Sus scrofa: one gene and its partner. The protein of the gene in region 1 interacts with the protein of each later gene in a biochemical or structural test. Links are inferred from orthologs where the notes say so. Each region holds a gene or a part of one and is shown in the gene's direction. Other genes may lie near its edges.

Evidence for each region.
Region 2: the proteins of TXNIP (region 1) and SLC2A1 form a complex in vitro, tested with the Homo sapiens proteins (2 studies listed by BioGRID). The link is inferred for Sus scrofa from reciprocal best matches to the Homo sapiens genes TXNIP and SLC2A1.

What each region holds. Positions count from the first base shown.
Region 1 is NC_010446.5:99,346,999-99,351,458, forward strand, and holds the start of TXNIP (thioredoxin-interacting protein), read left to right. Parts: upstream 1-1,590; 5' UTR 1,591-1,852; coding exon 1,853-2,102; intron 2,103-2,615; coding exon 2,616-2,688; intron 2,689-2,810; coding exon 2,811-2,958; intron 2,959-3,165; coding exon 3,166-3,268; intron 3,269-3,399; coding exon 3,400-3,656; intron 3,657-3,757; coding exon 3,758-3,914; intron 3,915-4,026; coding exon 4,027-4,178; intron 4,179-4,310; coding exon 4,311-4,346; 3' UTR 4,347-4,460. UniProt on the Homo sapiens protein: May act as an oxidative stress mediator by inhibiting thioredoxin activity or by limiting its bioavailability.
Region 2 is NC_010448.4:168,555,803-168,559,606, forward strand, and holds part of SLC2A1 (solute carrier family 2, facilitated glucose transporter member 1), read left to right. Parts: coding exon 1-153; intron 154-311; coding exon 312-552; intron 553-1,166; coding exon 1,167-1,329; intron 1,330-1,413; coding exon 1,414-1,601; intron 1,602-1,856; coding exon 1,857-1,961; intron 1,962-2,437; coding exon 2,438-2,539; intron 2,540-3,701; coding exon 3,702-3,804. UniProt on the Homo sapiens protein: Facilitative glucose transporter, which is responsible for constitutive or basal glucose uptake. Has a very broad substrate specificity; can transport a wide range of aldoses including both pentoses and hexoses.

The sequences.
Region 1 (4,460 bases):
TTAAGGGCCGCACCCACAGCATGTGGAGGTTCCCAGGCTAGGGGTCAAATCGGAGCTGTAGCCTCTGGCCTACACCACAGCCACAGCAACGCCAGATCCTTAGCCCACTGAGTGAGGCCAGGGATTGAACCCACGTCCTCATGGATGCGAGTCCGGTTGTTAACCACTGAGCCACGATGGAAACTCCTCTTATTGCATTTTTGAGAAATTGCTTGGGAGTCAGCTCCTAAGGCATCTCATGGCCAGCTAGGGAAAAACCCACCTGTCAGCAAGCCAAATGACAACACAGGATGAGGAGTCAGGTTCTCTTCCAGCTTTAGCATATAGCGTGCCAGTGAACCTTCGGTCTTCTCTTTGCTTTCTTAGCAATTTCTGAACAACTTAGAAAAAAAAAAAAACTTTTCAAAGATAGGAAATGCTTCCTTCAAACAGGACACTTTGGTTACAGACCAGAGAACTTTACTGCTTTTAATTAACTTGAAGGCTGTGAGGAGGGTGGGCAGCAGATTTAGGGATGTACCTTTGATTTAGTAAATTGGAGAGGGAACGAAGGCAAGAAAGAGTTAAAGTTATTCAGAAAAAAAGCGCAGAATGAAGCATCCTTTTTTTTCCCCCTTTCCTGGAGAAGTAGGGAGGGAGAGGTAACCTGAGCCTAGAGAACACAATTTACTAAAGAAGTGATGAGGTAACTGGGAGAACAGAAACAAAGTGTCCCTCAACTTTGCAGGTTAGGGACTGAAGAGATGAGGGCATTAGCAACAGGATGTGGCCGCGCCCTTACTGTTTCCGGTCCAGAGAACAGAGAGAACTGAGTTGGGGGCGCAGGGGCTGAGGAACAGCCCAGCACCAAGCCCTGAGCCCTGGGGGCTGGAAAGGGAGGAAAAAGGCTGGTAGGTCCCACACGCGCGCTTCCCTGTGTGCGCGGAGAAGAGGGTAAAAATTTGTGACAAATTCTCATTTCCTTCTCACATCAGCTTATTTTTTTTGGGGGGGGGGTGTTTTTAATAGAGATGCGGGGCAAGAAGACAAAGGGGCTCGTCCTGAATAATAACAGCAGCACTCCTTGCCCTCCGCCCCAATCCTAAAGTATTCTTGGCGCTCGGGGATTGTTTTTCACACGACTTGCGATTTGTGAGCCGGGAATAAACGGTCGCCTCTAAATTAACTGCACTGGCAATGGCTAGGCACGAAATTCCCTCATAAGCACATTTTCCTTTTACCTCGAAATGTCGCTCCAGCCCAGAAGCATCCTCATTCGCCCTCCCAAGGCCACTGGCCTCGGATAAATTTTAGGGTCTGCGAATGCTTCGTTCCTTTGGGCTCCCGGGAAGCCGCCCACGGCCCCTGCGCCCCCTCCTCCCAGGGCCGCAGCAGTGCACAACAACCATTTTCCCCGCCAGGAGCACACTGTGTCCACGCGCCGCTGCGACTTCGCTGATTGGTCGGGCTCCTGGTAAACATGGAGCGGGCAGCCAATGGGCGGGCTGTGCACGAGGGCTGCACGAGCCTCCGGGCCAGCGCTCGCGTGGCTCTGCCTGCCCGGCTACTATATAGAGCAGTTTATAGCTCTCAGCACAAGCTATCCTTTCCACTCCTCTGGCAGATCGCTGTTAGCTTTCCCGCCGAGATCCGGAGCTCTCCTCCAGCTGTTGGAGGAAAGACAGGAAAGAGCTTATTTTTCTTTTGAAATACCTTGGCACAACCAGCAAGGGAACATCTTGTCGAACATTTAATAGAGAGTTGAAAAGTGAAATAATTTTAATTCATTGCAAAGGGCCCTTTGATTCGGGGTTTTGTTTTTCACTCCTGCCCCCTGCCCCGTTTCTAACTCTCAAGTCAACCGAGCCCAAACATGGTGATGTTCAAGAAGATCAAGTCTTTTGAGGTGGTCTTTAACGACCCCGAAAAGGTGTACGGCTGTGGGGAGAAGGTGGCTGGCCGGGTGATAGTGGAGGTGTGTGAAGTCACTCGAATCAAAGCTGTCAGGATCCTGGCTTGTGGAGTGGCCAAAGTCCTGTGGATGCAGGGATCCCAGCAGTGCAAACAGACCTTGGACTACCTGCGCTATGAAGACACTCTTCTCCTGGACGACCACCCAACAGGTAAGTGACCCAGCTGTTGACTGGAGGGCGAAAGCTGATTTGAGAAGAGAGTTGATACGAATAAATAGAGCCTACACTAAATATTCTAAGTTGCTCAGGTGGTGTGGTTTGAATTTTGTGTCAATTCCTTATCTTTTTGTTTCTTTTTAATTTACAATCCCTGCCCACCCAAAAGGGTGATTTGTACAATTTCTTGTGGTGCTGTGTTCTGGAGATGTTGAAGGATGTTGCCTTACCTATTGAAACATTTCTGTGCATAAGTTGCTTATTCTTTGCTTGCTTCTTGTTTGAGATGATTGTAGCTTAACTGTCCTGGTTGAGCCTGTCAACACTACAGGGCTTTGCAACTTTTTGCCCAACAAAATACATCAGAATCTGTCATTTAGGAACAAAAGGGATGAGAATACGAGTTCTGCAATACTCTTGCGTGATGCCTAAGAATTCCTTATCGGCACAGATGCATTTTAAGTGTAACAGGAAACCTAATGGTTACTTGCTTATCTCTCTTTTCAGGGGAGAATGAGATGGTGATCATGAGACCTGGAAACAAATATGAATACAAGTTTGGCTTTGAGCTTCCTCAGGGGTAGGTATCAGCTAAATGCATCTGTGGACTTATCTGTCTCTAAAAATCTTCCCCTCCTTTGATCACTCACTGTTCTTGGAGAGCATTTTTTTAAGTTAGTTGTTTCCTTTTTCTTTATAAAGGCCTCTGGGAACATCTTTCAAAGGAAAATATGGGTGTGTAGACTACTGGGTGAAGGCTTTTCTTGATCGCCCAAGCCAGCCAACTCAAGAGACAAAAAAACACTTCGAAGTGATGGATCTAGTGGATGTCAATACCCCTGATTTAATGGTAAAGTCATTCTAAGATTCTGTTCTTTTTGGGCTCAGGGGTGCTAAGTCAAATGTCTAGGGCATTAAAAGTGAAGCCCCTCGGGGAATCAAGTCCTAAATCATCAAGGTGGGAGGGAAGGCTACCTACTATAAATAAGTACTGGAAAGGAACGGAAAGCAGGGAAAGGATCTCTAGAAATTCTCAAAACACCTCCATTCTACATAGGCACCTGTGTCTGCTAAAAAGGAGAAGAAAGTTTCCTGCATGTTCATTCCTGATGGCCGGGTGTCTGTCTCTGCTCGAATCGACAGAAAAGGGTTCTGTGAAGGTAAAAATCTGTGCTTAAAATGGGAGACTGCTAAAACAGAAACTATGGGTTTGGGATGAGGGCTGTAGAAAGGGACAAAAGAAAAGTCGTTGATTGTACTGAGCATCAGTTTTCATCTTTCCCATTGCTAGGTGATGAGATTAACATCCATGCTGATTTTGAGAATACATGTTCCCGCATTGTGGTGCCCAAAGCTGCCATTGTAGCCCGCCACACTTACCTTGCCAATGGCCAAACCAAAGTACTGACGCAGAAGTTGTCATCGGTCAGAGGCAATCACATTATCTCAGGAACCTGTGCATCATGGCGTGGCAAGAGCCTTCGGGTGCAGAAGATCAGGCCTTCTATCTTGGGCTGCAACATCCTTCGAGTTGAATACTTCTTACTGGTGAGTTTGTAGGGTTGGAGAGAGAAATTGTTCATCTGTCAAAACAATAGTGATGTTTTCTCCAGATCTCTAGCCTAACAAACTCCCGTGTTCCTTTCTAGATCTACGTTAGTGTCCCTGGCTCCAAGAAGGTCATTCTTGACCTGCCCCTGGTAATTGGCAGCAGGTCAGGCCTCAGCAGCCGGACGTCCAGCATGGCCAGCCGAACCAGCTCCGAGATGAGTTGGGTAGATCTAAACATCCCTGATACCCCCGAAGGTGAGCCAGACCTAATGTCTTTTCTTCCCTTCTGGTCTGCTTGGGTTTGTAAAATTGTGATGGTCAGGCATTTCTTGGCCAGGCTTCTTATCCCCATACTTTGTCTCTGTAGCTCCTCCATGCTATATGGATATCATTCCTGAAGATCACCGATTGGAGAGCCCCACCACTCCTCTGCTAGATGACACAGATGGCTCTCAAGACAGCCCTATCTTTATGTATGCTCCTGAGTTTAAGTTCATGCCACCACCTACTTACAGTGAGGTAAGAATTGTCATTTTGCCACTACATTTGTCCTAAGCCTTCAGTGGAAAGTTGACTTGGAGGGATTACTAAACTGGGTTGTTCTCTTAGTTCTTACCCAAACTAAAATATCCTTTTCTTTCTTCCTCCCAGGTGGATCCCTGCATCCTCAACAACAACGTGCAGTGAACATGTGGAAGGAAAGAAGCAGCTATACCTACTTCTTTCTTTTCACCTCTCTTCCTGGACTGACTTTTTAGGAGACTCAACAGTCTCTGCAGTGGGGTACAGATCCACCCCAGC
Region 2 (3,804 bases), on another chromosome or scaffold:
GGAATTCTACAACCAGACGTGGCTCCACCGCTATGGGGAGAGCATCTCGCCCGCCACGCTGACCACACTCTGGTCCCTCTCCGTGGCCATATTCTCCGTGGGGGGCATGATCGGCTCCTTCTCTGTGGGCCTGTTTGTGAACCGCTTTGGCCGGTGAGCAGAGGGGGTCCTGGCCCTGCCCAGGGAGGCCCAGACGAGCGCGGGCGGTGGGGGGCCTTCCCTGCCTGTTCCAGAGTGTTACCTCTGACCCAGCCCCTGAGGCCTCCAGGGGGATCCAGGGGCCCGCCTGACCTCTGACCTCCTCGCCCCAGGCGGAATTCCATGCTGATGATGAACCTGCTGGCCTTCATATCTGCTGTGCTCATGGGCTTCTCCAAACTGGGCAAATCCTTTGAGATGCTGATCCTGGGTCGCTTCATCATCGGTGTGTACTGCGGCCTGACCACGGGCTTCGTGCCCATGTATGTGGGGGAGGTGTCCCCGACGGCCCTTCGAGGGGCCCTGGGCACCCTGCACCAGCTGGGCATCGTCGTCGGCATCCTCATCGCCCAGGTAAGCCCCCAGCCACAGCTCCAGCACCTCCCGGGTGTGCATCCAGATCGCACCCCTCAGCCGGCCTCCCGCAGCCTCGCAGGGGAGCCTCGGGACACGTCCCAGGCACAGCACTCCGCACCCTTCTCCCGGGGCCCCCGGTGGGAGAGCGTCCAGATGCCTTGACTTTTCGTCCCAGCCCGCTCGGCCTTGTGTCCCTTCTCTTCACCCTGCGGACCCAGCCACAGGGAAGCCCACCAGTTTCTCAGCCTGCTGGCTCCCTGCCGCCTCCAGGCCATGATGGGTGTGCACGTGGTACACGCATGCACCCCCTCTCTCAAGGCCTCCCCGTCCCACCTTGAGGGGTCCTGGGGCAGGGCAGCAGCCCGCGGGGGCCCCTGCCAGACACCTTCGAAGCCCCGCCATCTCATCCCCAGGCCGGGCGGTAGGTCCTGCTTCTCCCTGAGGTTCAGAGAAGTGAAGCTTCACGCTAGCGCAGAACGAGACTCAGACTGGAGCCCTCTTTCTGACGCAGTGGCTGGCACACGCAGGCGAGGGCCGCCTGGGTGGAACGGGTCGAGGCGTGGAGCCAGGGCAGGGCACTGACAGCCGCTCTCCGTCCCTGCCTCCCGCAGGTATTTGGCCTGGACTCCATCATGGGCAACGAGGAGCTGTGGCCCCTGCTCCTGAGCGTCATCTTCATCCCGGCCCTGCTGCAGTGCGTCCTGCTGCCCTTCTGCCCCGAGAGCCCCCGCTTCCTGCTCATCAACCGCAATGAGGAGAACCGGGCCAAGAGCGGTACGGCCGGGCCCTGCCCCTCCCCGCCCCCGGCCCTGGCCGCCTCCCCGCGCTGAGCCACCCCCCTTCCCTCCGGCCCCCCAGTGCTGAAGAAGCTGCGCGGAACGGCAGACGTGACCCGAGACCTGCAGGAGATGAAGGAGGAGAGCCGGCAGATGATGCGGGAGAAGAAGGTCACCATCCTGGAGCTGTTCCGCTCGGCCGCCTACCGCCAGCCCATCCTCATCGCCGTGGTGCTGCAGCTGTCCCAGCAGCTGTCGGGCATCAACGCGGTGAGTGCCCCCGGCCAGCCTCTCCCGGGGCCCCAGCCGAACCCTGGGTTCAAGTGCGCGCTGTGGACAGAGCCCACGCTTACGACAGACGAGCCCCTGCCGGGGGAGAAGCTCTCCCCCAGATCCAAAACCCGTAAGGGCACCGGTGCGGTGTCCCGTTCCTTCCTTCCTCACTGTGAGTGTCCCCACCCGTGGGGACAGAGGCCGCGGGCGGACCGCAGCGCCCGGCTCACCCCGTGACTCCCCTGCCCGCAGGTTTTCTATTACTCCACAAGCATCTTCGAGAAGGCGGGCGTGCAGCAGCCTGTGTATGCCACCATCGGCTCCGGCATCGTCAACACGGCCTTCACTGTCGTGTCGGTGAGTCTTTGGGAGCCTCTTCATCACTGCTGATACCCATCGGCATCCAGGGTCCCTCTCGGGGCCTCGGGGCCTCATGACTGAATAGCAGCAAGTACCGTGAGCCAGGCATGCGTCACACGCTCCATAAGTGCTCTCCCATTTCATCTTCAACAACGTGTCAAGTTCATTACTCGTATCAAACAGCTGATGACACTGACGCTCAGAGAGGCGTGATGGCTGGCCCAAAGCCGCAGGCAGCATGCTCAGCTGTCTGGCTCTCGGGGGCCGCCCTCACTCCCCTCCAGGTGCTGGGCTCTCCAGCCCCCCGCCGGACCTGTGAACCCCCCAGGCCGAGGCGGTACTGTCTTCCTTCCACCTCCGTCTCTGCAGGGCCCCGTGGCTGTCCCTACATGTGGGATGAAGGAGCGGAGGGAGGGAGGGATGTTTCCAGAGGGACTCCGGGTGGCGGTAGCACTGACACTCTCTGCCCACAGCTGTTCGTGGTGGAACGAGCCGGCCGGCGGACCCTGCACCTCATAGGCCTGGCTGGCATGGCGGGCTGCGCGGTGCTCATGACCATCGCCTTGGCACTGCTGGTGAGTCGCCACACTGGCGGCGAGGTGGCAGGGGTGGGTGGCAGCTCACATGGGCACCAGATCCCAAAGTGCCCGTCTCAGCCCAGCCCAGCCAGCAGCACCCGGAGGCCAGGTGGTGACCGCCCCCTCCCTAGTTCTGCACCCGAAGCCCCCCACCCCCTCTGGCTCCTAGGCTGTCTCCTTCTTTCGCACTCACATCCTGCCTCAAACCGGCTCCCTCCTCTGCCTGACGTTTTCTCACCACAAGACCTCGAGGTCCCTCTCCCCAGAATTGCTTTGCCTAATACTGACTTTTCCAGAGTCTCCTCTGCAGCCTCAGTTCCCTTTAGAACTGCTCTGAAGTAACAGCCTCTTGACCACAGCGGGTGGAAACCTCCCTCATCTCACGAAATGCTCAGGATGCGCAGGTGCAGTTAGGTCACTCTTCCCACTTCTCAGGCGAGGAAGCCTGTCCCCAGGGGACTGAGGGATGCAGAAGATAATGGACGAGGCCAGAATCAACCTCAGATCTGCTGGTCCTAAGCCCGAGTCTGCAACCTCTGTGACAGCCCTGCCCCGGGCACTGCACACACTTACCCATCTGGGCAAGGAAAGCCCTGGTACACTCACTTTACAGCTGAACTAGAGCTTAGAAAGGGCAGTGCTGGACGAGGGGCCAGCACACCCACCGTAGGCACTGAGCGTGGATCTGGGATCTGAACAAAGCCCAGGTACTTGTCTACCGTGGCCGCCTCCAGAGTGGTTCTGTATGGCACCGCGTGCCTGCTCGGTGTTGGCCCTGAGCTGGGCGCCTTACAAGCCTCCTAACACCCGCCCCCGGCAACACTCTTCCCCTTCCTCCCGCTGTACGCAGCCCGCTTCGCGGCCTGAGCGAGGGGACTGCGAGGGCCTTTTGGCACTTCCCGCACGCACACGACGTGACTGTCCCCGGGAGGTGGACACAAGCTCACAGGCGTCCTGCAGGACTTAAACTGTTTCGTTCAGATGAGGGAACCGTGACCCCAGCACAGGGCACCTAACGTCACACAGCAAACCCAAGATCAGCCCCAGGCCTCCTTCCTTCCAGCCCAGAGCTCTTAGCACTGCCCTGGGCTCCCTCTGCATCTTCTGAGGATCCATCACAGCCCAGTCTGACTTTCCTCTCCTCTCTCGTCCTCAACAGGAGCAGCTGCCCTGGATGTCCTACCTGAGCATCGTGGCCATCTTTGGCTTCGTGGCCTTCTTTGAAGTGGGCCCTGGCCCCATCCCATGGTTCATTGTGGCCG